Rhinolophus ferrumequinum: one gene and its partners. Each later gene encodes a partner of the first gene's protein in a complex. Links are inferred from orthologs where the notes say so. Each region holds a gene or a part of one and is shown on either strand. Other genes may lie near its edges.

Region 1 (6,870 bases):
TGTGAATTGTCATTATAGTCTAGATTTTACAGAGTTTTGGGAAGCTGACTTCAGGCCAAATTTGTAGATATGAAGGAAGTATATAAAAATATACTTGAAATTTTCCCCTGTAAAGCCCTTGAATCTGCTCCATATCAGAAAGCATGGCTGTGGTGGGTTTACCAATATTTTAAACTATCGTTTTCTAATTAGGAACTTCTCCTTTTACCCTGGAGTTCACGGTCTTTCTTAGACACCCCTAGTTCTAACTTGTCTAGAGGAAAGAAGCATCTAAAGAGTGCCACTTCTCATTTAGTGTAGAAGAGGGTTTGTGTTCGTCTTAACTCCAAGGAAAAGAACAACTTGCAAGTAATTCTCCTCTCATTGTATAATACACTTTAAAAAGCTGTCTTGCAAACAACCCACGGGTGAGTCCGTTAGCTCCATTCTGCTGGCAGGATTGTGGGTGTTCTTGGTACCTCTCAGCTCAGCTTGTAAGTAGAACAGCTGCAGGACTTATAGGCTCTGCAGGACTTCACAGGGAAAACCCACAGCGAGTTTCCTCTTGTGTGTCTAAGCTGAACTCAGTTCTGCAGGGAGCTATTTGTTCATCTCACAAGTGGTCAGGTGTTGAAGGGCTGACTAGGGGCTCCCTTGAAAAAATGCTCTCATGGTAGAATGTGGATGAGGGAATGGTGTCCCATGGAATTTCCTTGGATAATATGTATTCAGGGATAAAGGACCAGTTGGATGCAAGTAGTTGGGATGAATCTATCTATAAGCAACTTACATCTTTAACCAACTATTGCCTAACAAATGTACATCAGGATAACCTAGATAATTTGCAAAACGCCTCCTTCTTCTAGGCATAAGAAGGGTGAGTGAAAACATTTATGATATGGCAAGCTTTAAGAAGCCAATATTCCACTGGTTTTCTTCCCAAGCCAGAGATTTATTCATTCATCCATTAATCCAAAAAATTATGTGGCTGGTGATACAGGGATGAATAAGAATATTTCCTACTCTCAAAGAATTCAGTCTAATAACAGACACATATTTAAATAATTTAAACATAATCTAGTAAGAGAGAAGTGCATCAGATTGTATGAGACTATTTAGGAAGGGCACCCAGCCCATTTTAAGGTGAGTAAGGAATGGGGGTGGAAATGAGCAAAGCTTTCCTGGAGGAAGTTACATCCGAATTGTTTTTTAAAGAACCTTTTACTGGCTGAGGAAGGAAAGAGGGATAGGCATGTGGGAATGTTGGAGCGGAGTGGTAACTGGATAGTGATTTTCCAGGCAGAGAAAAAGCATCAACCCAAATGGAGGGAACACAGAATCGAGACTTGTGTTCTGGCAGTGCTTGTTCAAACAAACTTATTGGACATTTGTAAAAATGTCAAGTAGGCAGGTAGAGGTGTGTGTGTGTATCTGCAATTTTGGGGTAAGGATAGAGCTAGAGATCTAGATTTGGCAGCCACTAGTAAATTCATGGTATTTACATCTGTAAATATATGGAAATACTATAAGAGGTTGCCCAAAAGAGTGTGTGATCAGAGAAGGGGACCCAGGACAGAGGCCAGGGAGACAGATCACCCTAACATTTAGAGGATAGTCTGGGAGAAGGAGTCAGCAAAGAAAACTGAAAGGGGTGGCTAGAAAGGTTGGAAGGAAACAAATCGCGTGTCAAGGAAAAATGGTCTCAGTAAGGATGGCGTGAATTAGTCATTTCAAATGCTTTTGGGAAGCTAACAAAACCAAAGAAGTGACTGCTGGATTTGGTAACATGAAGATCATCGAAGACCTTGACAGAAACCATTTCAGTGAAGTGGTAGGGACAGAAGCCCTAGTACAGAGGATGGAGGCTAGAATGCAAGATAAGGAAGGGGGGCTAGACTAGAGCAACCCTTGCCTTTATGCTGGTGGGTATTCTGGCCTCTCTTCTTAAGAGCCATTCAGAAGAAAGGGAGGCGGCTTGTGCTCCACTGATATGACTGTTCAGGGTCAAAACGTGCCAGGTTGCGTGTACCTGGGCGCCAGGATGCACAGACCTTCGATATTACACCCCCCTTAGCTCATCTCATGACATGGAGTGCCCTCTAGACTGTATACAATGCTCTTAGAACAGCGTCCAGGACATTGTCAGTGCTGTATGAACTTTTGTTATCATTACCGCAGTTTCTAGGCAAGCTTTCTTGTCTTCTAAGAAGAACACATCATTTATATAGACCAAATCATTTTTCAGGATGTGTGAAGATTCAAATCTTACACGTGGCAAAAATTGAAGCATAAAAAAGAAAAATGATTTGCATATAGGGGTGCTAGTTTTCAGTTGAACGGTCTGTGTTCTCTCTCTCTCTCTCTCTCTCTCTCAATCTCTCTCTCTCTCTCTCTCTCTCTCTCTCTCTCTCTGTTTCTCCCTCCCTCCCTCCCTCCCTCGCTCCCTCTGAGTTCTGGTTAAGGTGGAGAGCTCTCACTAGTGAAAAGGAAAATGAATAGTAAAGGCACATGCTGAGAAATAAATTTATGGAATCAACCAAAATAGAAGTAAATACAGCAAACAGAGAAGTGAAATGTTGTACCTGTTTGTACAGGTAGCTGAAAGATGACAGATACAGGGTGGATTTTTAGTTTTGATTTGTTCATTGGTAAAGTGAGAAATATTAATGTAGAAACAGAGGAATAATAATACAGTGGTGCAGCTGTTTCATGTGGAAGAATTCTGAATCTTGTTTTGTAATTGAACTCTTCTGGAGAGCAAGACTAAGGTAGAAAGTGGAAATGATGGACAGGAGGTAAATATTGTAAACTTCCCCTTGGTCTCCAAATGCCTTATCACTCTTTTCAGCCTTAAGGTCAAATTCTAAATACTTTGCAGGTGTTTTTCATGTCCAAAATTTGGATATCTATCTCATGGGATTACTGTGGAGATTAAGTGACATGTAAAATGTACAGTAGTATATTGTGACTGCATCATTAATTCATCTTTCAATGAAGTGCACATGCCCTCTTGACTGATAACTAGTGTTTTCTGTTTATTTTTTTCTTATACCTCTTAAATCTATTGAAGATGCTTTCAATACAAATTTAATAATAACCACAGCTAACAGTTATGTACTCAAATTAAGTCATTTAATCTTTGAAACAATCCTATAAAGTAGAATTGTTACCATTATCTCTTGTGTGGACTTAGCATTTGGCAGCCAGGTTTCAGAGCCCAGCTCTTAAACACTGTTTCTACACTTTTAGCTGGACAGAACTGGGCCACTCTTCCAGCCATATTCTGCTACTAGCAAACTCAGTGTTCTGTTTAGTAACCACTCTTAACTGCTTTCAGTCGTCAAGGACTCTCGCCTCAGTTCCCGGGTCACCCAGATGGAACCATTCCAGCTACGTCCTTTTAAGTTCTGTGAACTTTCACCTTGGCTAAGCAGCGAGTTTGCACCACTGTCCCTTTTCTTCAGTGGACTCAGGGCTAACCCACAGGGTCACTATTTTAAGTAGCAATACTGGTATTCTCTAAAAAGACACAGGTCTGCACGAATCCCTCAGTGAGCACTTGAACTGGACAGCTGAGCCCGTCCCAGGGTAAGGACACTGTCACGAAGGCTTGGGACACCGTGATGTGCAGCAGGGCCGCGGGGCTTAGACGGGGAGAGCCGGTACAGGGACCAGATCATCAGCGTGCGTTCCCGGGCGCGGCACGGGCTAGCCACCTAGGACACAGCAGCCGGGAGGGGGAGGAAGGGGCGGAGCCAGAAGCCTGCCCGGCAGCTCCCCCGCCCCTTCCCCTCTGCTGTCCGTCCCAGCTCTTGCCCCGCCCCGCCCTTCTGGCCCAGCCCGGCGGCTCCGCCCCCGGTGACGTCACCGGCCAGGCCAGCCGGCGCCATTTTGAAAGTGGAGCCCCTGCCGCTGCCGCCGCCGTCGCTGTCGTAGCTGCCGCCGCCGCTGCTAAAGAAAGAGCAAGAGCGGGGAAGCACAAGAGTGAAATCCACCATCCTGCTGGCTGGTCTGCCCGCCCCTCCTTCCTTCTTCCCCGACCCCCGCCCCCTCCCCCCACAGGTGCCATCCGCCGCCATCCGCCCTCTCTACCCCCCCATCCCCAGGTGAGGGGGGTGAGTTCAGGAAGCAGAGACCCCGAGGAACCCAGCAGGGTCACCATTTGCAGCGCAACATGGCAGGTAAAGGAGAAATCACCCTCGGCCAGTGACAAGGCACCGCTTCCTTCCTCCTCCCTCCATCACCCCCTAGCGACCGCCTCTGCCTCTCATAGAGCCACGGGGCGCCCCTTGGATTTCGGGGAATTGGTCAAGTGGGGTGGGTGAGGGTGGGGAGGGTTCTGGTGAGGCGAGTGGTCGCTGTGATACCGAAATGGCTTTTAAAATGAGGGCTGGAACCTTGGCATGGATGGGGGTGGGGTGTATGCCGGCGAGCTGTGGGGTAAAGGCGTGGGTGGGGCGGGGTGGGGGCGAGTGCAGATTTGTCCCCACAGCTTTGGAGCCTGGTGTAACCTCTGCTCCCCCCACTTCCCCGCCCCGGGCTTTTTGGCGGATCTTCCTTCATTTAATTACTATTTTTTCCCCTGCTGCAAGCCTTCTTGAGTGTTTATACAAATATATTTTGCACTGAGAAGGAAGAGTGCTTTACAAGTTAAAATGCAATCGGTACATATGTGTATTTTTCCCCACTGTGGGTACGTATATTTTTGAGACTGATTTGTTTTGTTTCCAACCATCTCCCTTTCGTTTCTTACCCTTTACATCCAAAGAGTGCAAGGTCTTGAATACAGCAAGTTGCATGAAAAATGTGATTTCAACTTTCCGTTTTGCATGTTAGCTTTTGTGCAGATGTCCTTTTCCCAAAAGGCATTCAATCGAGTTAGTTAAAATAGTTGTGGAGTTCAGTGATATAAATAGCCATGGGTAGAGGGATTTAGGTAAAAGCTTGGGATGGAGAGGGGATACATAGAGAAAACCAGGTTGGAATATTTAGCAAGGAATGGAAGTGAAGGAAGAGCAAGATAATTGCTTTGAGGATTACTTTTGTACATTTTGCTGTTGCTGAGTATCCTTCATGTAGTAGAATCAATTCTAGATCTGGATTCAGTTTCTTTATCCATCGATGCAGGACATTTCCTCCTCAAGTGCTTAGAAGTGAAATAGAAACATTCAGAGACTAAACCAATTTTCCGGGCTTCTTTCAATATTTAGATAGATGATTAAATCTTTGAAAAGTTAACATGTTGGGTTTACTTATGGTTTGCTATAAACAAGTTGCTCTTTGGCCTTGTCGAATAATTAAGTGAAATTAAAATTGTTTCGCACAAGATGACAAATTAGCAAAATTAATTCTCTGCAAGGTCCTCTGGAATCTGAGGGATAAGGTGAAGGGAGGCAAAACAAGCTTCCTTTTGACAGTCTCTTCACCAGTATTCATTTCTGCTTTTCCTCTCGAGCTAGTGATTTGCTGGTAATGAAATGCAAGAAATGGGTGGTGAGTGTTGTGTTTGCTGTATGTGCTCTTTGGTGATAGGTTCTTATGAATCCTTGCTCCTCAGGCAGGCAGTAATGTTCCTGAAGTTTTCTCCTCGTGCCATGTTTTATGGTAGTTTAACCTTATTGACTCTTCTAGAAGCAGGCTTTTTAAAGGAAAACACTCTTTAAAGGAAAACTCTCTAACTTTTGGTATTTGCTTTTTCCTGGTAGGTCGTGCTTGAATGTAAGGTTTTTACTGTATTTGAGGGAAAAGGATGTTTTAAACACATGTATAGTGTTAATGCCAGTACATGGCCTTTAAATATTTCATACCCCGAATCTCTTGTTTTCTAAAGCAATACCAGCTATTGGGGACTAGCCTTTTTTCAAATTAGTGCTCTGGGGTGGTGGTAATGTATGTGGGCAGTATGAGGCTATTAGTATCATGCCAACCATGGATATCATCTCAGTGTTGACCGGAGTAAACATGAACGGAGCTCAGTTTTAATTGGTATGTTTTCTTTTTTCTAGGAGCTGGAGGAGGGAATGATATTCAGTGGTGTTTTTCTCAGGTGAAAGGAGCAGTAGATGATGATGTAGCAGAAGGTAAGAAAGCATTTAATAATGCAGAATTTGAGTATAGAATGTTCAAAATCTTGATTACTGAAAATTTTCCTCGCAGATGAGTCTGTTAATAGTTGAAGAACATTTTGTATTGTCCAAGCAATGGAAGAACAGTTTTAAAAGTTAACCTTTCTGGAAAGTAGTCTTAAATTCTTCATTCTTTATGCCTCATTTTATTATTTTTTCCTGAATTAAATGAAAGGAACAGTAGATTATAAATATGAAACCCATGAAAAGAAAAGTCTGAGGTCTGTATGATAAAGGTTTCCTTGCTATATAAATTTCACTCACAAATAAATGGTGATGCATCTTCATGTTTGTATATAATTTTTAGATAATTAAGCTGAAATAGGTGCATCAGCATTTAGCTCAGAAGCATCTTGACAGCATCTTTTATTTCTGAAGGAAGATTTTTAGTTTTTTTGAACTTGCCTATTTTGAGATTGTGGTGTTGATTGGCATATTCTGTGAAGAAATGCTTGTTCAAGGGATGCATTTTATTGTCTTGTAAGGATTGATTTACGTGGGCAAGAAAACAGTGCTATGGATATATTGCACGTCTTCTGAGGGGCTGCCTTATTCTTGTGCTTTTAGAAGCTGGATTCAATCAGTTGAAGTGCTTAATTCTTAATTTTACCCCCAAAATTGTTTATTAGTGTATTTCAGAAGTTTAAAGTTTTGAAACTTTAGGGTTTTGCACTCATCTGAAATGGTCTTAGATGAAAGAGGCATTATTTCCCAAAAAGTAGTTGCATTATTTCATCATTCAGAAATATTACTTAAGGTTTGAACT
Region 2 (7,374 bases), on another chromosome or scaffold:
AAGTGTACTGCTTATTGAGGAATTTGTTTTCCTTCGCAGTATTAAAAAAGGCAAAGTATGACAAAAATGATCATAAGAACCACCTAAGGCTTTCTGAACCAAGACAACATTTAGGACAAGAAGGAGGGTGGGCCTATAATAGTTTAGGAAAGGAAATGGGGAGGAGGAAAGAAGCGAGGTTTCCGTGCCCACCCCTAGTCAAATGCTATTTGAAGATAAAGAAACTCTATTTTTTTTAGCATGGTAAACATTTCATATCTTTTTTTTTAATTTTTATTTATTTATTTTTAATTTATTGGGGTGACAATTGTTAAGTTGCTCAGCAGTCAAGAGGAAAGAAAGGATGTAAAATATGCCAGAACTGTGAGAGAGAAAAAGTTGAATGAAAAAGTGGATTTTGTGTGTTCTCAGAGGAGCACGAGGAATATTGCTTACGTAGAATGCTAACAATGTATTTTTATAGCGCTTTCCCCCCTAAACAATTCAGGATGTCATACAAATAATCATTCACTCACATGAGCAACTTTGACTAAAAAAAAAAATTTCCAAATGTTCTAACATTGAGAGGTAGGCACAGTGCAGATGTTTTTATTTCACCCACCCCCTTTTCACTCGTTTCTTCTCACGGAGCTATTGTTTGCATAATCCATAGTGGGTTTGCATTGTTCTTATATAGACTAGACCCAATTTAAGGCAATAGGAGCTCTGCAACCATCTGATAATACTGAGCCTTCAACGAGTCATGCAAACAAGACAAAGTCAATAGCAGTGGGTAGACAGCCCTTTCCTGAGAGGAATCCCCAGGCCGGAGACCCATAGTGCCTGATTGGGGACAACTGTGGCCAACGCTCCGCGTGTTCATCTCCTTGTGCCCAGTGGAGAAGATGGGGGATGGACGGACAGACCAGACCCAATGGACATGCTTGGCCACTTCTTCCAGAGCACAGAGCAGTTGCTTCCTCTGTCCTTCGGACACCCTTCGTGTTTCTCATAGTGCTACCAGTTTTTTTTTTCTTTTTAACTGAGAAAATCTCAAAGATTGATGACAGCAAACTCTCTCAATTACCTGCTTCCTAAAGCTTAGAAGACTATGTTCTGTATCTTCCCACTTTTTCTGGTAGGCGGAGGTGAAGCTTGCTGATCCTAAGAGCCTAGGCCCTCCAAAGATGAGTTCTCCAGGTTGTACTTTGTTGTCTCAGGAGTAGAGGATAATAATTGTGATCGCACTCAATTTCAAGTCAGCAGATATTTATAGAGCACCTAGTATGTGGTATAATAGAAAACGCATTCAAAATTCAACTGGGACTAAGAGTGTACCTACTGTGTGCTTGGTACTGAGCTAGGCACTGGTATAACCATAACTAGACTTAGTAAGCGCTTGTATGGTGCTAGAGACTGTACGTATGTTTATTATTCCCATTTTACACAATAGGTGACTAGGCACAGAAATGTTGCAAAACTCAGACTGGATTTTCTTATTTCACCGAGATGTGAAATCACTTTCCAAAAGTCATATAGCAAGTAAGAGGTAGAATAAGGTAGTGGCACCTCACAGCCCTTCCCTCAAGCTTTAAATAGGTTCACAGTTGAAATCCACCCTCTCTGCCTACAGCTGTATGACTTTAGGAAAATTACTTAAACTTTTAAAATCCTAGTTTCCTCATCTGTAAATGGATATAATGATATGTAATATTTTCAGAACTTTCTACAGATGATAAATAATGCCTGTAAAGTGGCTAGCGCAGTGCCTGGCAGACAATATCATTATTAGTGATTCATAAATCCAAATGCATAATCACTCAGTATATAGTGCTATGGCTACCCACCCCTGTTGTTAAAACATTGAAAGTCTTCCATGCCAGTTGGCAGACCCCTTGAGTGCCCCACGTCCTGGCCATCTTGCCCCTCCTGTAGGAGCCTCCCATAACTCCTGGCCCTCTAAGCGTCTCCAGGACTCCGCTCTGATGCTTAGTGCCTGTGTTGCCCTGTGTGTTAACTGTGTTAACTGTGGCAACACAGTTAAGTATTTTCACTATTGCCTGGCTACAAATATGAGATGGACTCCTGCCTCTGTTGAGAGTACAGTTTGGGAGGGGCCCTGGGCATGACAGCGGAAAGTGAGGAGGTCAGAGATGAAAGAGAATGTTTCACACGGTGCAGGATGGTGATACACCCCGCCCAGATTGGTCAGGACGGCTTTATCAGTGACCTGTTTAGGTGGGTGGAGGCATCCCGGGTCATCACTAAAGCTCCTTTTGTCTCTCAGTTTTTTTCATTCTTGCCACCTCCACCGAGTTCAGTCCTTCATGACCCTTTGCCTAAACTTCCACAAGTGCTTTACGATTAAGTGGTTCTCTTTGTAATTAAGTGTACTGTTCTAGAATCCATTCTTTGGTTCCCTTACTCAATAACCTTTAGTAGATTCCTGTGGCCCCCATCTCCTTATTGAGGCATCCACGACCCATTATCATGTAGCACCAGCCTCAGTTTCCATCCTTTTCCACCTCCTGTAGGTGTCTGGCACACCTGCCAAATGAGATGGTCTCCACCAGGGGCTCTGTTGCTCCTGCTGCTTGGAACTTGTGGGTCCTACTTCAGAGTTTTTCTGTGTCCTCCTCAAATGCAACTTCTTTCTCCCATCTCCGTTCCTCCTCCCACCCCATGCCTCTTCTCCCACCCCAAAGTTGTATTGGGGGGTGATGTGTTCTGATAACTGAAATACATTGGTAGCTTATTATATGCCAGGCTGTTCTAAGAGCTTTGCATGTGTTACCTTGTTTTAGCCTCACAAAAACTCTTAAGAGGTAGCCACTATTATTATCTCTATTTTAAGATGAAAAAGACCAAGGCACAGAAAGGTGAAATAACTTTCCAGAGGTCACACTGCAAGTAAAATGTGGAGCTGGGATTGCAACTCAAGAAGCTTGTCTTCCGAGCCTGTACTCTTACTCAGTGTTTTTTAGTAACTAATAGCTCTCAAAGAAAGAGAAAATGGAAACATTTCTCTCATGTTATTCCTCAAACTGCAAGGCTTGCTTTTGTAATTATTTGTGTTATTATTTCCTCTCCTTCTTTATGTGAGCTGCAAATTCCTGGAGGGAAGGAACTCTGGGTCTCATGGACCGGTGTGTCAGTTACCTTCAATAAGTTGTGATATTTCTGAGCCATCACATCCTTTGGAGCCTCTGATTGTGACTTGGCCATCATCAAGCCCACTTTTCACTAGTATTTCTTCTAACTAAATATAGCAAATCCTCCAATGTCATTTTCTTCAATTGTTTCGTTATAAGGTTGATGAGATGCTGTGGGAACTTAACTCTTGTTTATATCAATTAGCCTGTGGTAAAATCAGTTGTGTTCTGTGGCGTGTCTGTAGACTACTTGGCCAAACTCTGGTCAGGCCAACAGTTCCACCTGGACTCCGAGAAAGCTGTACTTCGTTTTATGATTCAGATTGTGGCTGAGTTGTCATTTCCCTTCTGCATAATAGAGCAGATGTGTGTGTGTGTGTGTGTGTGTGTGTGTGTGTGTGTGTGTGTGTGTGTGAGATTTCTCCCTTTTAGAGCTGGCGAAACTAAGGTGTTCTGAGGTTATTCACTCAGTTGTCAGGCAGGTCTGTGGTGGAGCTTAGGTGGGTCTAACTGAAACTGATTCTCCAGGAACCCAGTCTAGGACCCTGGCCAACCCTGTGGTGATTCTGCCCTAAATGCCATGTACTAAGGATCAGTAGAAGGGCTAAGTTGTTGACTGACCAGAAAATTCTGGAACACTCTTCCCCTATATTTTTACCTTGACACAAAATAAAATTATGACATCATGATGAGAACACAGGACTTCTCTATTTGTATTTTTAGAACTTGCTCGATTTTTTTTCAAGGGTGGCTGGTCAGTCCTTGGGTTGAAGGAAAAATCATTGTGGAGAACTTGTCCCACCTTTCCTCATAACCTGTGTGACAACGGTTTGTTCTAAAATCTGGAGAACACACAATAATAGATGCTGGCTTTAGTGGAACACCAGTAACTTTTTACCTAGACACAATTCCTTGATAAGCAACCAAAACTGAGAAACTTTTCGAACCCCCGTTTTCTTCATTCCGTGTTAGAATTGATGGCTGCTAAGAGTGTATGTGACTCTAGGGGGCAAGGGACTCATACAACATTAATATCTGCTAAATCTCTTATAGTAATACTATTGTTGTCCAGGGGCTTTCCCTTGCCGCATTATGCTGTTATCTTCATTTCTGCCAGGGTTGGCCAGGAGCTTACAGGTGTGTGCTGCCTTGAAAATGGAAGTGTGGGGGCGGGGGTGGGGGGAGGTGAACCAGGACAGATCCGGACTTTATTGCAGAGCAAGGTCCACCACCATACTCGGATGAAAGTTCGAATGGCTTAGCTCGCTTTGGTTCTGGCACACCAGCGCACAAACCAGATTCTTTACCTACAAACAACACGGTGGCTATGCCTCCTCCCCATCACCCGCCCTAGGAACACAGACGCCGCACAACCCGCCAGTCCCTCGCCACACGCGTAGTCCCCTTTAAGAGCCTGCTCCGCGGGACTAACGTTCGAATGGCTCTGGCGCCCCTCCTCGGTCTCCGATTGGCCGCGTGTAGAGCATGAGGGCGCGTTGACCCGCCCCGGAACGGTTGGCGGCCCTTCGCGATTGGCGGGCGAGGAGCATATATAAGGCGCCGGGGGAGTGGGACTGCCCTCAGTTAGCGACCAGGCACCTGACCGGACAGGAAACTGGGTAGTTACCTGTTGTGGAGGGGACGCGGAGGTCAATAAGCGCGTCACAGGAATCGTTTCTTTCTGGAGTCTTGGGGAGGATTTCTTGACTCCTCCAATTTCTCTCCCTGTTTTTGGACCCTAGCCGGGGCTCAACCCTCCTCTCCGTGCTGCCCGTGAAGGGGCTCCAGGCAGGATGGAGTTCAAGCTGGAGGCGCACCGCATCGTCAGTATTTCCCTGGGCAAGATCTACAACTCGCGGGTCCAGCGCGGCGGCATCAAGCTGCACAAGAACCTTCTGGTTTCGCTGGTGTTGCGCAGCGCCCGCCAGGTCTACCTGAGCGACCCGTGCCCCGGCCTCTACCTGGCCGGTCCGTCAGGGACCCCGATGGCGCTGCCGCAGCTGCCCGGGGAGCCTGCGGCCGGCCCCGCCGCGGGATGGGGAGAGCCGGCACCGCCGGCCGTCCCGGCCGCCTGGCAGGAGACCCAGCCGCACCCGGAACGCTCCGCCGTCCCAGACGCTCAGCGGGCGGTTGACGCGGAGCCCGCGGCTCCCGGGATCGACGCCGGGGACGCTGTCCTGGGCGGACAAGCGGCTGCGGGACCTGCCTGGCGCCTCATGGAGGGACCGCGAGAGGCAGCGGCCGGAGGACCCGGGAACCCCGCCGGAGCCTCGGAAGTCTTCCCCGAGGTGGCCCGGGCGGCGAGCCACCACTGCGGCCGCCCCCCAGGAGGGGAGGACCAGCCGGGGGCGCTGGGCGCCACCCCCCGCGGTGACTGCTGCTGTGCGAAGGAAGAGGCCCCCGCGCCGCCCCCCATCGGCCCCAGGAAGCGCGGCGCGGCAGGGGCGGGTGGCGTCGGTGGCCCGGCGGGCTGCCCCGCGCCCAGCTCGACCCCGCTGAAGAAGCCCCGCCGGGACTTGGAGGAGCCGTCGAGCGGGGCGGCGGCCGAGGAGGAGGAGGAGATGGAGACCGGGAACGTGGCTAACCTTATTAGCATCTTCGGTTCCAGCTTCTCGGGACTCCTGCGGAAAAGCCCCGGGGGCGGCCGGGAGGAAGCCGACGGAGAGGAGAACGGTCCGGAAGCCGCCGAGCCCGGGCAGATCTGCTGCGATAAGCCGGTGCTGAGAGACATGAACCCCTGGAGCACAGCCATCGTGGCCTTCTGAGCCCTCGGTCTCCGTGCGGGCAGGCGAGTGAGCAGCTGGCGTACCGACGCGAGGGCTGGGCCTCTCCCAGCTGCGAGGACGACCCGGAGACCGTGGGCGCCGAGCGTGTTGGGGAGACTGTGGCAGCTGCCCGGCAGTGCGCGCTGCCCGTGGCCTTGGGCACCCTGCTGTGCCGGCCTCTCTCTCGGGGCCCTTCTTGAGACTTGGGCATGTGAGGCTTATCGGAAGAGGACGCTCGTTCACTTGTGTGTCTGTGTATGTCTGTGTTGTAAGTTTGTTTTGTGATTTAAGACTATTTTGTCCTTCTGGAATGCATCACCCCTTCCCCAGCCAGGGCTTAGGAGACGGGGGGCAGACAGGGACTTTCCTCTGCCAGCAGCCCCAAGAAGGAAGCGGCGAAAAGGGCCGGGGAGTTCCCCGCGCGTTCTTGGGGCAGGAAGGGACTTTACACACACCCCTCACATGAAAGCTAGAACGGTACCAGGGCCAGGAGTGGCGTTTCCTCGCAGGATTTCCTAAGACTAGAGGGATTTAGCCTGCAGTCGAGACTTGTATTATTTCTCTCCCTCCCCACCTTTCTCTCTCACTGAAGCACCGTTTATACCCTGTGATTACTCTGGGAAAGGGGAATCTTAGCGGCCCTTGTCTTCCCCAGAGGGAAAAACGCTTGACGAACTTCTCAGAAGAGGTCAAGCTTGGAAATACGGAGTTTATAGAGAAAAGATATATTTTTAAAAGCTCTAGTTCAGAACTACTACACAGTGCTTTTAAAAAATGTTTAATGAAACAAAGTTTACAGACAGAACCCTTAAGTGGAAAGATCTTATGGTTTTGTAGATATGGTGACTCCAGTCTTTGTTGTATAAAGGTTGGGGGAGCTGACAAGGTTTTTGTACAGTATTTTCTCCTTCGTTGTATTGATTTTTGTATAAAAATGTAACTCTACGTGTCTAACACGTATTAAATATTTTGAAGCAACTTCACTGCCTCCTTGCCTGTTCATCACCAGTCTGGGTTGGGAGGGGGGTGGGAGGAGGGAGACTGTGGTCCAGGCTGGAAAATTGAAGGTGTGGTTGTTAATATCAGTCAAGCACAGACTGCGGACATTGTTTGCTGACTTTAGTGAGTATCCAGAGAGACACGTTTAAGGTTTCTCCCCCAGATCAGAGGACTGCTACCAGATACTAATGTCAGTGGCCTGCCTGTTTCTTGAAACTTGCCACTTCCAGCCGCCTTTTCTAAAGTCATATTAGGCCAATTTGATTTTTTTCTCAGCTCAATCTGTTGGTGTCTTACTTAATATTAAATAGCTGAAGCGCCAACTTTTGAAGCCCTTCCCATCCTGGAAAAGGTTTTCACTGAAACTTTTTGTCTCCTGCTAAACTGTATTACTTGGGTCCTCTTTCAGCTTTGTTATTGAAAAGAAACTGACAGGAGGGAAACTGAGGAGACTGACTCGCCCAGCTGATCAGGTCCAC
Region 3 (6,311 bases), on another chromosome or scaffold:
CCCTAGGAATTAAAAGGAAACTACCTGTTAGTTTGAAAAAATAGAATCTTAATCACAGTAAAGTTTAACTATTGAATAGATGTCTTGTTTTCTGACTTAGGAGTGAGTATCAACTAAGTATAGTATTTAATTCATACCAGATTGAAACCAGAAGGGTGAATTGACTCAGAGGAGATCTCCTGGATCCTTCCTCTGGTGTCACTTTTGCAACAGGCTGAATTGCATTTTATGGCTGCTATTTTCTCTCATTTATCCTTTATTCCTTTGAGAGGAAGCAGTAATTCAATATATTAAACACTGCTTAGAATCCTCAGCACTGAGCATTTTAATTCTGTCAAGCGTGTATCAGCATACTGTTGAAAAAGAATGGAAACTTAGGGCTTCAGTTTGTTAGTTTTCTTGAACTAACCATTATGTCAACTATCTCCATGGACTGGAGGGCGCTATAATTAATAATAATAATCTCGATATAAGAAAAAGAATTGTCAAAGTTAGGAGCACTTGGAGTCAGTCTAGAAAAGCCTGTTAGACTGTATTTTCAAATAATCATTTTCTTCTCTTTTGGACAAAGCTACGTTAGTTCATTCATTCATTCATTCATTCATTTAACATTTACTTGACACAGTGACTCAGCAACTATTTAGAGTGCTGTGTACAAGGCCCTGTTCTAGCTACTAGACATACAGCAGGGAACAAAGCAAAAGGCTTGCTGTCATGGAGATGACCTCCTTGAGTATAAGAGGCAAGAAAACAGTATATACATATATGTCATGTGGTGCTCTGGAGGAACATAAAAACAGAGTAAGGGCATGGGAGAGTAGGCTTGGTGTTGGGAACTGCTGTTGCTTTTATAAGGAAGGTCAGGGAAGGTCTCTCGGTTAATGATATTTGTGCAGAGCCCTGAACGGATAGAACAGTGTGGACATCCACTGGAAGAAGAGTAAGCCTGGTGGGCTAAAGAACAGTAAGGAGGCCTCTGCAGTTTGAGGGGAGGCAGTGAGGGGGCATGTAGTTAGAAGTGGGGACAGAGAGAGAGAAGTGACCCACATCAAATAGGGCTCCATTGATGATTGTAATAACTTCAGCTTTTTCTCTGAGCAGGAATCCACTGCAACATTTTGAACAGAGAAGGGACTATTCAAGTATTTTTCTTTCTTTCTTTTTTTTTTTAAGGCTGATCTGGAACATTGGGTGGAAAATTGACAGCAGAGACAAGGGTAGAAACAGGGAAATGAGTGAAGATCTCCAGTGGGTTCAGACAGAAACCAAATGGCAGAGATGTTTGATTTTGTGGACTTATCACCATCTCTGTGCTTTATCAGTAAAGATAATAATTGTATTTATCCAGGCATGGATGAACAGTGTCATCACATTTGAGAAACATTGGAAATAATTTAGTAATATGCAACTTAGCAAAATGCTATGGATATTATAAAATAAACTCTGTAGTTAATGCTTTTTTTTCTATTTAATATTAGTTTTCTTCTGGATGCTCTTCCTCCATCCTCCTCCATTTTTAATTAATAATGTACCATTCCTTGTGATACTCATGTTTGAACTTCAGTCATTTGTGACTCCTCTGTCTTCATCCTCTGTACATCCTGGCAGGTTCCGCTGTTACCTTCCGGTCTCCCAAAATTCATCTCCTTTTCCTGCCATTCCCAACTTTAGTTGAGACCGTACTTTCATCTCAGAGTTCGTCATCAAATTCTCCTTCTCTAATCCATGGGAAATGAAACAAAAAAAATATAGATTTAGAAATGAGACCTTGATTCAGATTGGTTCAGACCTTTGCTCTTCCACATAGCTGTATCACCTTTTGCAGTTTCTGAACCTCAGTTGTCCTTCTATGAAATGAGCATAACAGTATCAACAGGATCGCAGTGAGGATTAAGAGGGTCTATGGAGTGTGTAAAGTGCTTGGCAGGTAGTAGGCACTTAGAAAACGTTGATTCTTTCCACCTTCTGTTCTTCCACTTAGCTCCATCCTTGATCTGCCTGGCAGGTCCTAGAGTACAGCTCTCATTGTGTCACTCCTCTTGTCAAACACCATCAATGGTTCCCTCTGGCCTCACATGTTAAATACAGGCATCCAGAGCTCCAATTCTCTCACTCTAACTTCCATTTAAAACATTTTTCCCATTACTATTCTTCTCCATGTACTTCATGTGTTAGCCAAATTCACTATTTTATTATCATGCTGCCACTTCGAAATGTCATCTCTATATTAATATCTCTATAATACCTATGCTTCAGATCCTGTCTCAGAACCCATTGCCTTCACAAAGCTGCTAACAATCTGCAAGTGGAAATGGCACTTGGAGGAAGAACCCTGGGTAACATTGTGCCAGGCTCTGGGTCCACATCCTGGTACTTACTATTATCCTGGGGATATTACTTAATCTCTGCAGCTCAGTTTCCCCTGCAAAATGAGAACAATAATACCTACTTCATAGAGTTGTTGTGAGGATTAACTGAGGTACTACATGTGAAGCACTTTGAATGAATGCCTGGCACTTGGAAAACTTAAATCAGTTTCTGCATAATTCTAGGCATGAATAATCAACGTTATTTTATCATCAGGACCTGTATTTTACAGGGAATTCAAGTTAAAAGCTGTTTGAGACACGGTGGAAAGAGGCATGGACTAGGAACCAAGAGACCTGGATTCTGGTACTGGTTCCCACTATTAAACAAGCTGTGTGATGCTGAATATGTCACTTAGCCTCTCTGGATCTTACTTTCTTCAGCTGCAAAAAGAGGGGGATGAACAAAAATCACTAAGCTTTCTTTCAGTTCAAATAGCCCCATGGATATCTAATAACCACCTCTAACTCAAATCAACCAAAACAGAACTCTTAATTTCCACTTCTCTAAACTCACTCCTTTTCTATCTCAGTAAATGATACTATCATCTACCGCCCCAGTTCAAGTAAAAAAGCATATGAGTTGCCTTTGAATCATCTATTTCTTTCATCATCTAAATATAAACATAAAATGTATTTCCAAAACATATCCTAAATCCATCTACTTCTCATTGCCACTGCTACAACCCTAGTCCAATAATCTTGTCTGTATTGTTGCCAAAGGTTCCTAATCCGTCTTTCTGCCTACACTCTTCCCTCTTTCAGCCTATTTTCCACAGAGCCAAAGTGATATTTAAAACCTAAACCAGATAATATCACTCTCCTTCTTAAAGCTCCCCAGTGGCTTTTCATCGTACTTATAATGAGATCCAAACCCCTTTACGCCCTCCAACACTCCCCCTTATGCTTCAGCTGCATGGCCCTGTTTCCTTCTTCTAGCTCACCAAGCTCATGTCTGCCTTGGGCCTTAGCACTTGCTATTCTCTGTACTTGGAACATTCATCCACCAGAAGTCAACATGACTTACTTCTTGTCATTTAGATCTAAGCTGTGTCTAATTGCCCCCTGCCTTCTACCAGTAGTGCTCTATCATAACCTATTTTATTTTTTTTACTATCTGAAATAGCCTATTATCTCTTTGTGCCCTGTATAAATGACCCCATATTAGGGTCTAATTCCTAACACAGTGCCTGGCACATAGTAGGTATACAGAAAAAATATGGATGAATAATGAATGAATGAATGAATGAATACATGAAGAATTAAGTATAAACCCATTTTAATTTTAATATCAACAAATTTTAATATCAAAATTTGTGTTAACTACGTGAGCCAAGTATTGTGCTTTTTATTTTTAAAGTATGCGAACCTATTGGTTTTCCCTTCATTTAATGTCTCGTACTGAATGAACATTATTGAGCACATATGCTTGTGCTAGAAATATGACTAAATAAAACAATAGTAATACAGTTACAGGTTATTTTTTCCCCTTAACCCAAATAATTCTCAAATTGGCCGTTTTCTCCGTTCCTCTCCCACACCTTAGTGCAAACTTCCATCCTCTCTGACCTAAAGGATCGCCTCCCTTCTGATCTTTTTCTTGTGGGTTCTAATCTCCCAATAATCTACACTCCAGACTGCGGCCAGCGAGCTTTCCAGTCGCTATTATTACACCTATGCTTGAAAACCTTCGGAGTTTTCATTGTTCTCAGGATAAAGACCAGAAATCTGCGCTGCTCCACCACGTCACATCAGGCCAGCCCTCTCTCCCACCCTGGTTCCCGCCTGCCACCTGGCTGGTAGCCCGAGCTTCCCGCTTCCCGGACAGTTCTCCACTGCACCCATTTCTCTTCTTCGGATCTCAGATTGTCCCTTAGGGAAGCCGTCCTTGGTTAGGCCAAGGGCCAATCCCCGTCACACAGCCTCACATCAGCAAGGGCCTCTCTTTCAGAGCTTTTATTTTATAAATATATACTCCTGAATATGGTAACTTGATTAACATGTCAATGCGAGCTTGCGCTCAAAAGCTATTTGCGGAAGGGACTGAAGGACTAGATGTCCAACTGCTCCTCACCCCTCCCCCTAGGACCGCGGCGCATCTATTACGCATTAAGTTGGCGCCGCGAGAGCGCGCGCAGGACGCCTGCGCGAAGGGGCACGCATGCGCAGAGGGAGGAGCCCGCTGACAGATTCTCGGTGGCGGCGGCGGCGGCGGCGGCCCTGGACTGCGGGGAATGGGAGCCCTAGGTCTCTGACTGAGCACCGCCCCCGCCTCCCTGCCCCCCGACATGGCTCAGGAGAAGATGGAACTAGACCTGGAGCTGCCTTCGGGTACGGGCGGGAGCCCAGCGGAGGGCGGCGGCAGTGGCGGCGGCGGGGGCCTCAGGAGGTCTAATAGCGCCCCCCTGATCCACGGCCTCAGTGACACTTCCCCGGTGTTCCAGGCCGAGGCGCCGAGCGCCAGGCGGAACAGCACAACGTTCCCGAACCGCCATGGCCTGCTGCTACCGGCCTCCCCGGTCCGCATGCACAGCAGCCGCTTGCACCAGATCAAACAGGAGGAGGGCATGGACTTGATCAACCGAGAGACGGTCCACGAGCGCGAGGTGCAGAACGCAATGCAGATAAGCCACTCCTGGGAGGAAAGTTTCAGTCTGAGTGACAACGATGTGGAGAAATCTGCCTCTCCGAAGCGCATCGATTTCATTCCGGTGTCACCAGCACCGTCACCCACCCGGGGAATTGGGAAGCAGTGTTTTTCACCATCCTTGCAAAGTTTTGTGAGTAGCAATGGATTGCCCCCAAGTCCTATTCCCAGCCCAACGACCCGGTTTACTACTCGGAGAAGCCAGAGTCCCATTAATTGCATCAGACCAAGTGTTCTTGGACCATTGAAAAGAAAATGTGAAATGGAAACTGAATATCAGCCAAAGAGATTTTTCCAGGGCATCACCAACATGCTTTCTTCTGACGTTGCACAGCTGTCAGATCCTGGTGTGTGTGTATCCTCTGATACCCTTGATGGAAACAGCAGCAGTGCCGGATCTTCTTGTAACTCACCAGCGAAAGTCAGCACTACCACCGACTCTCCGGTGTCACCTGCCCAGGCGGCCTCTCCATTTATTCCAGTAGATGAACTTTCATCTAAATGATTCGCCGACCCATCCCGAGACTGTTTTATTTTTGCAATGGAGAGAAAAATCGGTTGGAGCAAGCACTGAACTCTGTCAATTAATTTGAGGCTCTTTCCTATTTGATCCTTTTCCTTTTTTGGAATTTCCTGAAATGTTGTTATTCTAGAGAACTTTTATGTCAGGTTCCTGCGGATGCCCTTGAATTCAGTGTAGTAATATTTTCAGACGTTTTCCCAATAAGTGTGTTGAAGCATACATCTTTACGCTGCTAATATGTCTAAATACATATGTTATCCCTTGATTTTTTAAAAATAATTGAGAGCTCTATTTATTTATGGGATTTTTAAGTTCTGATGCAAATATAAATGTTGAATTAATCAGCATAGTAAACTGTTTTAAAATTCCATACTTCATGCCCACACTAATTTTTAATGTTATTTTTAGTGATTGCTACTTTCTGTGTGATGAAGAACAATAACTTAACCTATTTACAGCTATTTTTAAAATATGTTAGTTATAACATATCAATCCAGTGGTTGTCTGTTTTATCCAGGAATCCTTGGATATTTAATTTTCTGGGTACAGAAATGGATGGGAGGGGGAACGATAAAAGAACAAAATATAAACCTTTGCAAGAAATCTTTTTAAATTAAACATATAAAAGTAAACATATTTAAGAAAAACATTTTCAAGTGAAACTTAATAGTAATTCTGGTAAGTTGTACAAATATAACCACTATACAGAAAATGAATTTTTTTGTGTTTACCAGCAAGTGCATTTTCTTGAGTATAATCCTAAAGTAAATGGACA

What was found. The genes of interacting proteins can lie anywhere in the genome.
Region 2: the proteins of PPP2R2A (region 1) and IER5 are in contact, whole or in part, in a cryo-EM structure (PDB 8UO5), measured with the Homo sapiens proteins. The link is inferred for Rhinolophus ferrumequinum from reciprocal best matches to the Homo sapiens genes PPP2R2A and IER5. Residues at the interface, in NP_002708.1 of Homo sapiens: Glu91, Ile92, Glu93, Glu94, Asp116, Tyr178, His179, Asp197, Leu198, Met222, Leu225, Thr226, Glu227, Val228, Thr230, Ser247, Phe280, Phe281, Glu283, Ile284, Ser287, Cys334, Tyr337, Glu338, Asn339, Asp340, Phe343, Lys345; in NP_057629.2 of Homo sapiens: Ala7, Arg9, Ile10, Ile13, Ser14, Lys17, Arg25, Gly26, Lys29, Leu30, His31, Lys32, Leu34, Leu35, Val36, Leu38, Val39, Leu40, Arg41.
Region 3: the proteins of PPP2R2A (region 1) and PABIR1 are in contact, whole or in part, in a cryo-EM structure (PDB 8SO0), measured with the Homo sapiens proteins. The link is inferred for Rhinolophus ferrumequinum from reciprocal best matches to the Homo sapiens genes PPP2R2A and PABIR1. Residues at the interface, in NP_002708.1 of Homo sapiens: Phe84, Leu87, Lys88, Ser89, Leu90, Tyr178, His179, Asp197, Met222, Glu223, Leu225, Thr226, Glu227, Val228, Tyr337, Asp340, Phe343; in NP_612206.5 of Homo sapiens: His81, Ser82, Ser83, Arg84, Leu85, Ile88, Lys89, Glu92, Arg99, Glu100, His103.

What each region holds. Positions count from the first base shown.
Region 1 is NC_046301.1:41,060,587-41,067,456, reverse strand, and holds the start of PPP2R2A (serine/threonine-protein phosphatase 2A 55 kDa regulatory subunit B alpha isoform), read left to right. Parts: upstream 1-3,852; 5' UTR 3,853-4,153; coding exon 4,154-4,160; intron 4,161-5,984; coding exon 5,985-6,059; intron 6,060-6,870. UniProt on the Homo sapiens protein: Substrate-recognition subunit of protein phosphatase 2A (PP2A) that plays a key role in cell cycle by controlling mitosis entry and exit. Involved in chromosome clustering during late mitosis by mediating dephosphorylation of MKI67.
Region 2 is NC_046305.1:13,388,876-13,396,249, forward strand, and holds IER5 (immediate early response gene 5 protein), read left to right. Parts: upstream 1-4,696; 5' UTR 4,697-4,924; coding exon 4,925-5,896; 3' UTR 5,897-6,874; downstream 6,875-7,374. UniProt on the Homo sapiens protein: Plays a role as a transcription factor. Mediates positive transcriptional regulation of several chaperone genes during the heat shock response in a HSF1-dependent manner. Mediates negative transcriptional regulation of CDC25B expression.
Region 3 is NC_046295.1:35,738,170-35,744,480, forward strand, and holds PABIR1 (PPP2R1A-PPP2R2A-interacting phosphatase regulator 1), read left to right. Parts: upstream 1-4,519; 5' UTR 4,520-4,654; coding exon 4,655-5,518; 3' UTR 5,519-5,811; downstream 5,812-6,311. UniProt on the Homo sapiens protein: Acts as an inhibitor of serine/threonine-protein phosphatase 2A (PP2A) activity. Inhibits PP2A activity by blocking the substrate binding site on PPP2R2A and the active site of PPP2CA.